Macaca fascicularis: one gene and its partners. The protein of the gene in region 2 interacts with the protein of the main gene of each other region in a pairwise test. Links are inferred from orthologs where the notes say so. Each region holds a gene or a part of one and is shown on either strand. Other genes may lie near its edges. The genes, in order: SESTD1, GPS2 and RALBP1.

Region 1 (3,648 bases), on a different chromosome or scaffold from region 2:
AGAATACAGTCAAGAAGAAAGTAATATCTGATAACAAAGGGTTTTACTTAAGTTTGTACAACCTAAGTAAATCAAATTTAAATCAAATTTACTACAAACAAGACAAAGGCTAGGTAACAGAAAAAAAATGGAAACAACTTTCTATTCAAAAAAATCTTTCAACTCTATTCATTCTTATATGACCTCATTAAAAGGTAGTTAAAAGCAGTATCCTAAAAAATCATCAGTGGGCCAGGCACGGTGGCTCACGCCTGTAATCCCCGCACTTCGGGAGGCCGAGGCGGGTGAATTACAAGGTCAGGAGATGGAGACCATTCTGGCTAACACAGTGAAATCCCGTCTCTACTAAAAAATTTAAAAAATTAGCTAGGTGTGGTGGTGGGCGCCTGTAGTCCCAGCTACTCGGGAGGCTGAGGCAGGAGAATGGCGTGAACCTGGGAGGCTGAGCTTGCAGTGAGCCGAGATCGTGCCACTGCACTCTAGCCTGGGTGACAGAGTGAGACTCCGTCTTGAAAAACAAAACAAAAGTTATCAGTGGTGCTAGACATTGGGCCAATGGTCACTCTTTGACAGTGAGGTGGTGGGGGGAGCAGTACTGTGACTACAGGAACGGAGGGGAGCTTCTGGATGCTGGTAATGTTCTGTTTTTTTGAACAGTAAACTGATTACACAGGTGTGTTCACTTTGTGAAATCTCACTGCACAGAATACTTGTGGTCTGTATGTTTTCTATGTTAACAGTATACTTAATAATAAAAAATCCTCATTGAAACAATCAGTAAACAAGTTACACCATTTTGTATACTTCCATTTATCATTAGGCCCATGTTCATCAAACACTGATCTATGGAGTTCAATGACCAGCTGAGAATGAGTTAACTATGGACACATCCCAACAGATGTACTTCATAACTCAGAAACTGTTTAATTCCTGAGGTTCCTTGCAACATCTGTTCTATGGATCGAGTTAGGTTTGCTAATATCTCAAAGTGTAATGAACATTCCCTACGTATAAACTTTTATTGTAAGAGATCAAAACAAAATTAACTACATAATAAAGTTCCTTTTCAGAACGGATATGTAAGGCTTGGGTACAATAAATTCTTACTACAAAGAGTAAGAAAAAAGTTCTATTGAAAATGTGTCCAAATAACCCTGCATATTTTATCTTTTGTTTCTGGAATTAATGACCTTAATTCATTGAATAATAAATTCTAGAATGAATCTTTAAAGAACCCATATAAAAAAGCATTTTACTTTTGTCCTTATTTTTTTAATGTCCCTACTTTATAAAATCACAAGGTGCCTTTTAGAAAATGTGTGACAATTAATAGCAGTTGCCAAAGCAAAAAGTTTCCCTTCCAGGCATAACGAAAGAGAATGAACTCATGATACTCTAAAGAACAGAGGGCATATTCTGGACACCAGGCTTGGTGAGGAGACAAGTGTAAAGAGAAGACTACCACGTGGTTCTAGATTTCTTTAATCACAGCTCTCCAGCACTGGTAAGAATCAAGAATTTAATTTGAACTCTCTAAGGCAATATATTATATCTAAGCAAACTAACAATGGAACTAATATAAATATTGAAAAATAGATCAGTCATATAGTTACATTACTAAAATTAACACACTTTAAACACATATAATAAATACCACTGAGAATAACATTTCAAAAAAAAAGCAAACCTTTTCAGCATTTGAGTGAAATGCAATAGCCATTTCCAACCTATGTACTCTCTCTTCAGATGCTATTGTAAATTGTTTCCATACTCTGTTCAATCGAGGAAGCGTATCCCCAGATGACCGAGAAGTGCAACGCAAAGACTGGCATAACACCACTGTGGCCTGTAGCAACTGTCTGCCATAGTCATAAGTGCTCTAAAAAAGAAAAGGAAACATAAAATTATAAAAAAAGAATTCTTAAGAGAAGGATGAGGAAAGTGTGCAGGAAGACTGTCCTTACAATTAAGTGACACTACTAGAAATCAATACTGAATAAATCTAGTGGCACTTATTACTACAAATTATCTGTGTGTATAAATAATAAAGGGGAAGCAATATTTTTGGTTAGTTTATAATAAGTTTCTTGGCCAGGCACAGTGGCTCATGTCTGTAATCCCAGCACTTTGGGAGGCTGAGGTGGGAGGATCGCTTGAACCTAGGAGTTCAAGACCAGCTTGGCCCACATAGCAAGATCCTGCCCCAAAAAAATGAAAAAAAAAATTGGTTGAGTTTGGCCACACTTGCCTATAGTCCCAGCTACCTCGGAGGCTGAGGCAGGAGGATCACTTGAACCCAGGAGTTGGAGGATGCAGAGAGCTATCATTGTGCTACCACATTATATCGTAGGTGACAGAGCAAGGTCTTGTCTCAAAAAAATAAATTGTTTTAAAATTTTTAATTAGAAAAAAACTCTCTTTCTGTTAGGCTTCCCCACTTCATTCTGTTTCCCCCATCACAATCCGCCAAATTTCACTGGTCAGAAAGAATGTCTGCTTATGAATTAATCAAAACTACTTTCAAAAGAAGGTGAAATTAGGCACTTTATATTCCATATAGGAAACTACACCTGTTACAATGTGAACTCATTATCAGGGAAAATAAGATACTTATTGGCGTGGCGCCGTAGCTCACACCTGTAATCCCAGCACTTTGGGAGGCCGAGGTGGGTGGATCACTTGAGGTCAGGAGTTCAAGACCAGCCTGGCCAACAAGGTGAAACCCCATCTCTATTAAAAATACAAAAACTAGCCAGGCGTGGTGGCCAGTGCCTGTAATCCCAGCTACTCAGGCGGCTTGAGGCATGAGAATCGCTTGAACCTGGGAGGCAGAGGTTGCAGTGAGCTGAGATTATATCACTGCACTCCAGCCTGGGCAACAGAGGAAGATTCTGTCTTTAAAAAAAAAAAAAAAAAGAAAGATACTTTTCACCACAAAAAAGTTCTGTATTATTATGCTAACACTAGTGAGATGCAGAAAGTGAGGTTTCTTATTTACTGATATTAACATCCATTTCATATTAACTTCTGTGAATCAACAGCTGGATTGCCTAAAAAATGCCACAATATATAGCATAAATCAGAGGGACCATGCAGAACATGTATTCAGGGAAACATAAACCCTCTCAAGTTTATGCAGGCTAGTTTTGATGCACCAGCTGACACTTTCTTAATTCTGTGATACTTCTGGAATAACAAAACTAACCTTCTTGTACTTGGAGGGTAAAGTTACATTATAATCATGCAGAAAGCTATTCAAACACTGAACTTGTGGAAAAGGAAGATAACCAGTTTTGCACCTGTGCAACATCAACAAATTTTCTATGCTTTTCCAGCAAAACTTTCGTTTCTTGAGCATCATCGCCCAATCTGATGTGAGTCTTAAGCAGAGCATCCAGAAGTTCACTTAGCCATTCTACTGCCTAAACAAAAAGACATAACAATGAAGCTGGATTCAGAACTCTTTACTTACTGTATCAAAATGTCATTTATACAGTGATTACTATCATGTGATTAATGAATCCGTTAATTATAACCTAAAGTCTTAAAAGTTTATTTCATTCAATGATAAGCTACATGAATTAATTACCTCTCCTACTCCTCAAAATTTTTTAAATCTGAAGGCAAGACATACTAAAGAAAAGCATT
Region 2 (4,080 bases):
CGAGCAAAGGCTTGAAGAAGGAAGTGAAGGGTGTAGCTGAGCAGGCTTTGGGAGGAAGAACATTTCAGGTAGAAAGAACAGCTAGAGTGAAGCTCCTATAAGGCGGGAGTATTTCCTAGGTACAGCAAGGCTTGTGTGGTTGGAACAGACTTTGCAAGGGGGAGGTGATGGGGAGAGAAGCTTCACTCCCTTATTTTTTCCTGTTTGACAGATTCCGGGACCCCAAATCCCAGCGGACGCACCAGGCTCAGGTGGCGTTCCAGGTGTGTGTGCGCCCTGGCTCCTACACCCCGGGACCCCCTTCCGCTGCCCTTGGAGAACCTCCTGACCCTCACTTCAGTCCAGCCGAACTTGAGTGGGTCACTAAGGAGAAGGGGGCCACACTCCTCTATGCCCTGCTGGTACGGGTGGAATGAGGGGTGACACACAAATACTACAAGCACAGTCGGGCCTCGGGCCCATGGACTCTGGCGACTGCCTCCACCTCATTCCCGTGACTCGTGGCATGCGCAGGTGCTGGAGCTTGGCAGCCGCGCAGGAGCATGTAGGCAGGCTCTCAGATGTAGGTGGCAAGTGGCACAGCTCCATGTCTGGAGGCCCAGCACTCCGTCTGATGGGAGGAGCCGTGGGAGCCCAGCTCCAGGCCCTGGTACCCCTCTTCATGCACTGATTTGGGGAACATGACTCCCTTTTACTCCCCTTCCCCACATCACTTAATTTATTTCCGTTTTTGTTTCTGGTTACTGTGAATCCCAGAGGAGTCTCTCCCTGTGCCCACATGAAGCTGCTTTTTCCGGGGCCACCAGGCGGGAGTGGGGAAGGGTGGGCGCACGGAAGATGGGGGCCTCTGTACAGTTGTTACTGACTCTGATTTCTAAGGAGCCAATAAACACCGTCTCAGAGCCTCCGCCTCGGCCTCTCTCTCGCGCGCCCCTCCCCGGAGCCCGCGTCCCCTGGGGTGCCACCAGGTGGGCCCGCGAAATTAAAGAGAGCTGAGGATGCCAAGACCAGTTTACAGCCCTCGTCGCCCGCGTTCCCGGCTACGGGGTTTGGACGCCGCGGGCACCCGTCGCAGCGCGCTTCCGCTTTCTCTCACCCAACCCGTGAGGTCGGCCGCAGCCGTGACTCCGGAAGGACTTGGCCGGGCCGCCGGATGTGACGTACGGGCCAGGGCGCGCCGGAGCTGCTGAGAAAGCGCAGAGAAGGCGGGTAGGGAGGGCTGGCGTCCGGGCTGGCTGGGCAGGGAGCGGCAGCACCGAGTCGGGGATCCCGGCGCCGCCCGTGCGCGCGGTGGAGCGGGGGCTGCGGGCCCGGCCGGGTGGCGGGCTCCTGGGACACGTGACCGGGGCGGCTAGCGGGTCGGGCGGACGGGCTTCCGCCTGGGCCGGGCGCGGTCCCCTCTGAGCGCCCGCCTCCCCGCAGGCGCCGTCTGAGGTCTGGCAGTCAGAGACAGAGCCGGGCGCCCACGGCCCGAGCGCCCACGGCAGCACCATGCCCGCACTCCTGGAGCGCCCCAAGCTTTCCAACGCCATGGCCAGGGCGCTGCACCGGCACATTATGATGGAGCGGGAGCGCAAGCGGCAGGGTGAGCCGGGGCCATAGCGGGGGGACACACGGCCCAGAATGGCTCCTGTACCTCAGGGTTGGCCTCAACCCAGCGGCCAACCAGTGAGCCCGCTGCCGAGCGCAGAGGAGGGAAGGAATAGCCCCGTTGTGGTGGGATTTAAGCGTCCTGGTCCACGCTCCAGAACCCTTGAGACGGGAAGGACCTTGGAGAGCACCTGATAAAGCCTCTCCGTTCCCTATTGCAGCGATGGGGGAGCTTGTCCCCTCGAGGCAAAGAGCGCACAGGCGTGTTGGGATGACTGGGTTTTGCTGGTCTTCAATCTAACGTTGGAACTGTTTTCACTACCCTGCCTCTTCTTCATTCTGCCTGATTCTCCAGAGGAAGAAGAGGTGGATAAGATGATGGAACAGAAGATGAAGGAAGAACAGGAGAGAAGGAAGAAAAAGGAGATGGAAGAGAGAATGTCACTAGAGGAGACCAAGGAACAAGTAAGCAGTCCCTTGAACTCTCCCAGCTTTGATTTCTTCCCTTGACTCTCCCTGCCTTCATCTTCTCTTCCCACTCCCTCCCAGATTCTGAAGTTGGAGGAGAAGCTTTTGGCCCTACAGGAAGAGAAGCATCAGCTTTTCCTGCAGCTCAAGAAAGTTTTACATGAGGAAGAAAAACGGAGGCGAAAGGAACAGAGGTAGGATCAGAGTACTAAAAACTGAAATGGGGGCCAAGTGGAACTGGGATCAAGTAATAAAAGAACTAGTGTTTAATGGCGAAAGAGAAGGCATCTGTCCTTAGCTTTGACCTGCCTTCCTCTCACTCCAGTGACCTGACCACCCTGACATCAGCTGCATACCAGCAGAGCCTGACTGTCCACACAGGAACTCATCTCCTCAGCATGCAGGGTGAGGACTAAAGAGACCACCTGATGGAACCGGCCTTCTTACAGGTTGCAGCCTCCCATTTCAGCATCATGAAGCCCTTCTCCCTTTCTAGGGAGCCCTGGAGGACACAATCGCCCAGGCACCCTCATGGCAGCTGACAGAGCCAAACAAATGTTTGGACCCCAAGTGCTTACGGTGAGAGTAGGATTGGATGCCCAGCCCCTACTGCTTCCATCCATGCATCCTTGCCACCAGTATTCAAGTCACAAACATATCAAGCACTTAAGTTTAGGGGGAAATGGGGCATACAGATATACACAAGTCACTGGGTTTCAGCTTTCAAGTTTATAGGCGAATTCTCATTCTCCCTCCTTAGACCCGGCACTATGTGGGCTCAGCAGCTGCTTTTGCGGGGACACCAGAGCATGGACAATTCCAAGGCAGTCCTGGTGGTGCCTATGGGACTGCTCAGCCCCCACCTCACTATGGGCCCACACAGCCAGCTTATAGTCCTAGTCAGCAGCTCAGAGGTGAGTAATAGGAGGGATGGGGCTTGGCCTTCCTCAACGTCAAAGGAGGAATGCCGTTGAGTAAAAGGTTTTAATGGCTCTGTCTTTTCCTTTCTCAGCTCCTTCAGCATTCCCTGCAGTGCAGTACCTATCTCAGCCACAGCCACAGCCCTATGCCGTGCACGGCCACTTTCAGCCCACTCAGACAGGTGATAACATCCCATGCAGGAGCTCTAGCTCTCTGGGTCCTCCCCTCCCTGTTTCATTCTCATCTCACATGCCCCTCTTCCCCACGTAGGTTTCCTCCAGCCTGGTGGTGCCCTGTCCTTGCAAAAGCAGATGGAACATGCTAACCAGCAGACTGGCTTCTCCGACTCAGTGAGTATGGCATCTTGGGAGGTCAGGGTTAGGGATATGTTAAGGGGAGCATCAGTATGCCTCAGGCCCTGACTCTGTTCTCTGCAGTCCTCTCTGCGCCCCATGCACCCCCAGGCTCTGCATCCAGCCCCTGGACTCCTTGCTTCCCCACAGCTCCCTGTGCAGATGCAACCAGCAGGAAAGGTAAGAATGATAATAAAGTTTACCTGTCAGAATCCTTACACTAGGGATCCAGAAAAGCAGGATTAGGTAGGACCGGTGGCCCACATCACCTGGTTTTTCTTCCTCTCTGGGGGTGGTTACCAGTAGGGCATTAAGTGGGAGAGTACGCCCAGTGACAAAGCCCTCTTTTCATCACCACCGCCAGTCGGGCTTTGCAGCTACCAGCCAACCTGGCCCTCGGCTCCCCTTCATCCAACACAGCCAGAACCCGCGATTCTACCACAAGTGACGATCAGATTATATCTTCAACATCATGCCCCCTGCCCCACTGTGGGTGAGGATACCCCCCGTGTGTCCCAGGCCAATAAAATCTACCTGCCACTGACCCTGGCTGCTGCTGTTTGTGTTGCCTCCCACCCAACTGTCTGGAATAGGTCAAGGCTGCTTGGGGGGTGGGGGGATGACTGGCAGGTCCACAGCAAGTCAGTGATAGACAGCGGGTTCCATGAACTCAGTGGCAGAGTTCAGTCTTTTTGTAGCTTCCAAATATACCCATTTAATTCAAATAAGCAGCTGAGTTGGGGGCTTC
Region 3 (3,648 bases), on a different chromosome or scaffold from region 2:
GCTAGATTCCATACCCCGGAGTGCCGTGGAAAAGTTCCACGAATGCGCCCGTCTCACAAAGCTATCCTCCACATGAATACAAATCTCTAACCTCAAAGAAACAGAAGGACTCAGGTTGCCTTTGTCTTTTTAACACAACCACAACAGAGACCTACTATCATGTTCCCCAATTCAGGCAAGGGCTAACTAATGATCCTTGGATGTGCTGTTTAGATGCTGCAGTGGATCTGCAATGTGGATTTTAAGGTGATCCAGAGATCTGGGATTTTACTGTTGCTGTGGCTGGTCCACTCACAGTCCCAGAACCAAGCAACACACACTAAACAAGAGGGAACTCAAAAGTCTGACTGGTGTACCCTAAACTCATCAGGTACTGCATGCCCCTCTTCTTCTTATTACATAAATAGAATCTCTCCTGATCTTCAGGACCTTCCAGGCAACCCTCATCACTACATTTCCAAAGAGCTGATACTAAATGCCTCAAATTCCAGCAGTCCCCGAAGGTGTGTCACCATCCAGCCTGCTTCTCATCTGCAGAAAGCCTTGTTTACAGGTATAACCGAGCAGGAAATGACACATTTTTTAGTAAATTCATTTTTAATTAAAACAAAACTTTCTAGGCCAGGCATGGTGGCTTATGCCTATAATCCCAGCACTTTGGGAGGTGGGAGGACTGCTTGAGCCCAGAAGTTTGAGACCAGCCTGGGCAACATAACAAGACCCCATTTCTACAAGCAATAAAAAATCAGCTGAGCATGGTGGCACACACCTGTAGGCCCACCTACTCAGTACTCAGAACGCTGAGGTAGGAGGATCCCTTGAGCCCAGGAGGTCGAGGCTACAGTGAACCATTATCATGCCATTGCACTCCAGCCTGGGTGACAGAGCGAGATCCTGTCTCAAAAAAAATTAAAAAAACGTTCTAGATTACATTGAAACATGTGACTGACACCAGGCTGCAATATCAATAATACAGGACTAGAAACATTTTAGTGAATAAATTTCCCACCAGAGAAGTTCACTTCAAGTGACATTATCTATAATATTCTTAAAAGAAAGAACTTGGGCTGGGCGTGGTGGCTCATGCCTGTAATCCCAGCACTTTGGGGGAGGCCGAGGTGGGAGGATTACTTGAGGCCAAGAGTTTGAGACCAGCCTGGTCAATATCAAAAGAAAAAGGAAAGAAAGAAAATACTTCAAAGAGCACATAAAGGACATAAAAGACTCCAACACGTTCTATTATAAACATTAGGTATCAAACTAGTAACCCACCTGTCTTTTAGCTTCTCTGAGTTTTCTTTTGAGGGCTGTCAAAATTCTTTGTACTTCCCATAATCTTTCTTCTTTAGACAAATCCTTTATCCCGCCCTGCAGATCTCGATGTAAACAATTCAAAAGAAACTCCTAGAAAGCAATGCCACACACTAAGTTGCATTCCATATCCTCTTATCTTAAACAACACATGCAATTTCTAAAGATGAAGAATCAACTATTTTTCAATTATCCTTTATTTCATTAGAGTAAAATAATGGCACTGATATGATTGAAAAATCATTCTTACTGTTTTGCCAATGAATTATTCGCTAATTTGTATTGGTTCAATAATACTTAACATCCCCATCTCCAATGTCATCATCATTAACTAGTAAGAACTGGGAGCTCACGGCAGACACAAGGGAGGAAAAGCAAGCAGGGGTTTGATAAAGTGCATGCAAATAAATAATCAAATGTAATTAACTTTCTTATTTAGTCTTGATTACACACACCCACACAAACACGGCATGGTTACTTCCATCAAAATAACATAGTAAAAACGCCCAGGATTTGGGCTCAACTCTTGGGTCTATAATAAATAATCATGTTACTTAACTTCCCCAAATTTTAATATTCTTATCTATAAAATATGGCTGATGACAGCAACCTTGTCCAGAAAAAGCAAACATTTTTAGACTATTTACAGCGTGCCTGGCCTGTTTCATGTATTGTCTCATTTGTGGCAAAATCTTCACACCAATCCTTTAAGAGGGCCCATTTTAAAGCAAGAACACCAGCGCTTAAGGTGGTTAAGAATTCGCCTAAAATCAGTTATAACTGAGAGCAGAGCAAGAATTTAAAGCCAGGTCTTTTGATTCCAAAAACTATGCTCTTTCCACCATGGTATTCCGACTTATTCAGCATGAAACAGTACCAGATGGGAATTTCTGACTTCAGTGTGCCTCACATAGCTCCAGACACACAGAAAGTGCTCAGGAAACAAGAGCCCATCACCACTGGACTCCACAATGGCCAATGCAGACGCAGGCTGTGGCAGGCAGGGTGCACACACCTGTCTCCTGATCTCCTCCTTGATGCCCGCCTGGGTCTCTGGCAGTGTGGGCATCGTGGCCATGTTAGACCATCGCAGAGGTTTCGTCACTTGCTTTAGTACCACATTTCCAAAGAGTTCTTGCACATGTGTGAAAAACACATACAGGACTCGATTGCTAATCTAAGAAAAAAAGATTTACAAGAAAACCATTAAAATTATCATTCTATTTCAGTTATTTGTGTCTAACATAATATATCCTTTAATCCTGGACACATAAAGAAAATTCTACCCAGTACTGACAACACAGTCTTTGCTAGTTAATGGTCAATTTAAGAAGAAAATGGTCAATTTAAGAAGAAGACTCATAAAATATGAGTTAAATCATGTATTCAAGCACCAGAAAGAATTGAAGAGGAAAAAAAAAAACCAAGAAAAGGATAGAGAAGCTGATGCCCATTCATTTGTTTTTTTTTTCTATCACTACAGTATTAACTGATTAAAACACCTTATGTTTTTTTGAGTATTGTTTTGTTTTTTTGTTTTGAGATGGAGTCTCGCTCTGTAGCCCAGGCTAGAGTACTGTGGCACAATCTCAGCTCACTGCAAGCTCCACCTCATGGGTTCAAGCGATTTTCCTGCCTCAGCCTCTCTGGTAAGCTGGGATTACAGGTGTGCGCCACCACGCCTGATTGATTTTTTTGTATTTTCAGTAGAGATGGGGTTTCACCATGTTGGCCAGGCTGGTCTCGAACTACTGACCTCAAATGATCTACCCACCTCAGCTTCCCAAAGTGCTGCGATTACAGGCATGAGCCACCATGCCCAGCTAAAACATCTTATGTTCTTTATTTTGAACTTACTTTGAGATATTTTAACAGCTACAATGGGCTGAATGAGGACCGTGAGGGAAGTGAGAGCACCACAGCAGTAAAACTGGGTTGAGGTTGAAAGCCCTCACTCCAGAAACAAATACCTGGACACAGCCAGCATTTAAGTGTGGATGTTCACATGCTAGGAGACCAGGGCATTAGGTTGGCTGAAAAGCTACTACAAGAAATTACTTCCTACCTAAAACTTACTCTTACAACACACTTGACTCTTCTATGATACAACCATCTCTATTATATTATAGTAATATTAAGTATCAATGTAATATTTACCAGATCCTGAAATCCTAATATGAATGATCAAACTAAAATCTGAGAAACATTTTGCTTTCAAAGTGTAACCAATGAATAACAGAAGAGTATTTTTTAGAGATAGAATTTTGCTCTGTCACTCAGAGAGGAGTAGAGTGGGATGATCATAGCTCACTGCTGGGCTCAAGCAATCCTCCTACC

Evidence for each region.
Region 1: the proteins of GPS2 (region 2) and SESTD1 interact in binary tests that used the Homo sapiens proteins (3 or more experiments, as listed by UniProt). The two-hybrid records come from large-scale screens. The link is inferred for Macaca fascicularis from reciprocal best matches to the Homo sapiens genes GPS2 and SESTD1.
Region 3: the proteins of GPS2 (region 2) and RALBP1 interact in binary tests that used the Homo sapiens proteins (3 or more experiments, as listed by UniProt). The two-hybrid records come from large-scale screens. The link is inferred for Macaca fascicularis from reciprocal best matches to the Homo sapiens genes GPS2 and RALBP1.

The regions. Positions count from the first base shown.
Region 1 is NC_088386.1:74,665,751-74,669,398, forward strand, and holds part of SESTD1 (SEC14 domain and spectrin repeat-containing protein 1), read right to left. Parts: intron 3,423-3,648; coding exon 3,300-3,422; exon of another isoform or gene 3,206-3,299; intron 1,880-3,205; coding exon 1,688-1,879; intron 1-1,687. UniProt on the Homo sapiens protein: May act as the primary docking protein directing membrane turnover and assembly of the transient receptor potential channels TRPC4 and TRPC5.
Region 2 is NC_088390.1:7,369,355-7,373,434, reverse strand, and holds GPS2 (G protein pathway suppressor 2), read left to right. Parts: upstream 1-1,151; 5' UTR 1,152-1,205; exon of another isoform or gene 1,206-1,281; intron 1,282-1,422; 5' UTR 1,423-1,491; coding exon 1,492-1,585; intron 1,586-1,945; coding exon 1,946-2,055; intron 2,056-2,139; coding exon 2,140-2,252; intron 2,253-2,383; coding exon 2,384-2,463; intron 2,464-2,554; coding exon 2,555-2,637; intron 2,638-2,818; coding exon 2,819-2,972; intron 2,973-3,070; coding exon 3,071-3,160; intron 3,161-3,249; coding exon 3,250-3,329; intron 3,330-3,416; coding exon 3,417-3,512; intron 3,513-3,696; coding exon 3,697-3,780; 3' UTR 3,781-3,876; downstream 3,877-4,080. Other genes in the region: NEURL4 (neuralized-like protein 4), read left to right, coding at 212-416. UniProt on the Homo sapiens protein: Key regulator of inflammation, lipid metabolism and mitochondrion homeostasis that acts by inhibiting the activity of the ubiquitin-conjugating enzyme UBE2N/Ubc13, thereby inhibiting 'Lys-63'-linked ubiquitination.
Region 3 is NC_088392.1:77,877,555-77,881,202, reverse strand, and holds part of RALBP1 (ralA-binding protein 1), read right to left. Parts: intron 2,489-3,648; coding exon 2,327-2,488; intron 1,405-2,326; coding exon 1,273-1,404; intron 1-1,272. UniProt on the Homo sapiens protein: Multifunctional protein that functions as a downstream effector of RALA and RALB. As a GTPase-activating protein/GAP can inactivate CDC42 and RAC1 by stimulating their GTPase activity.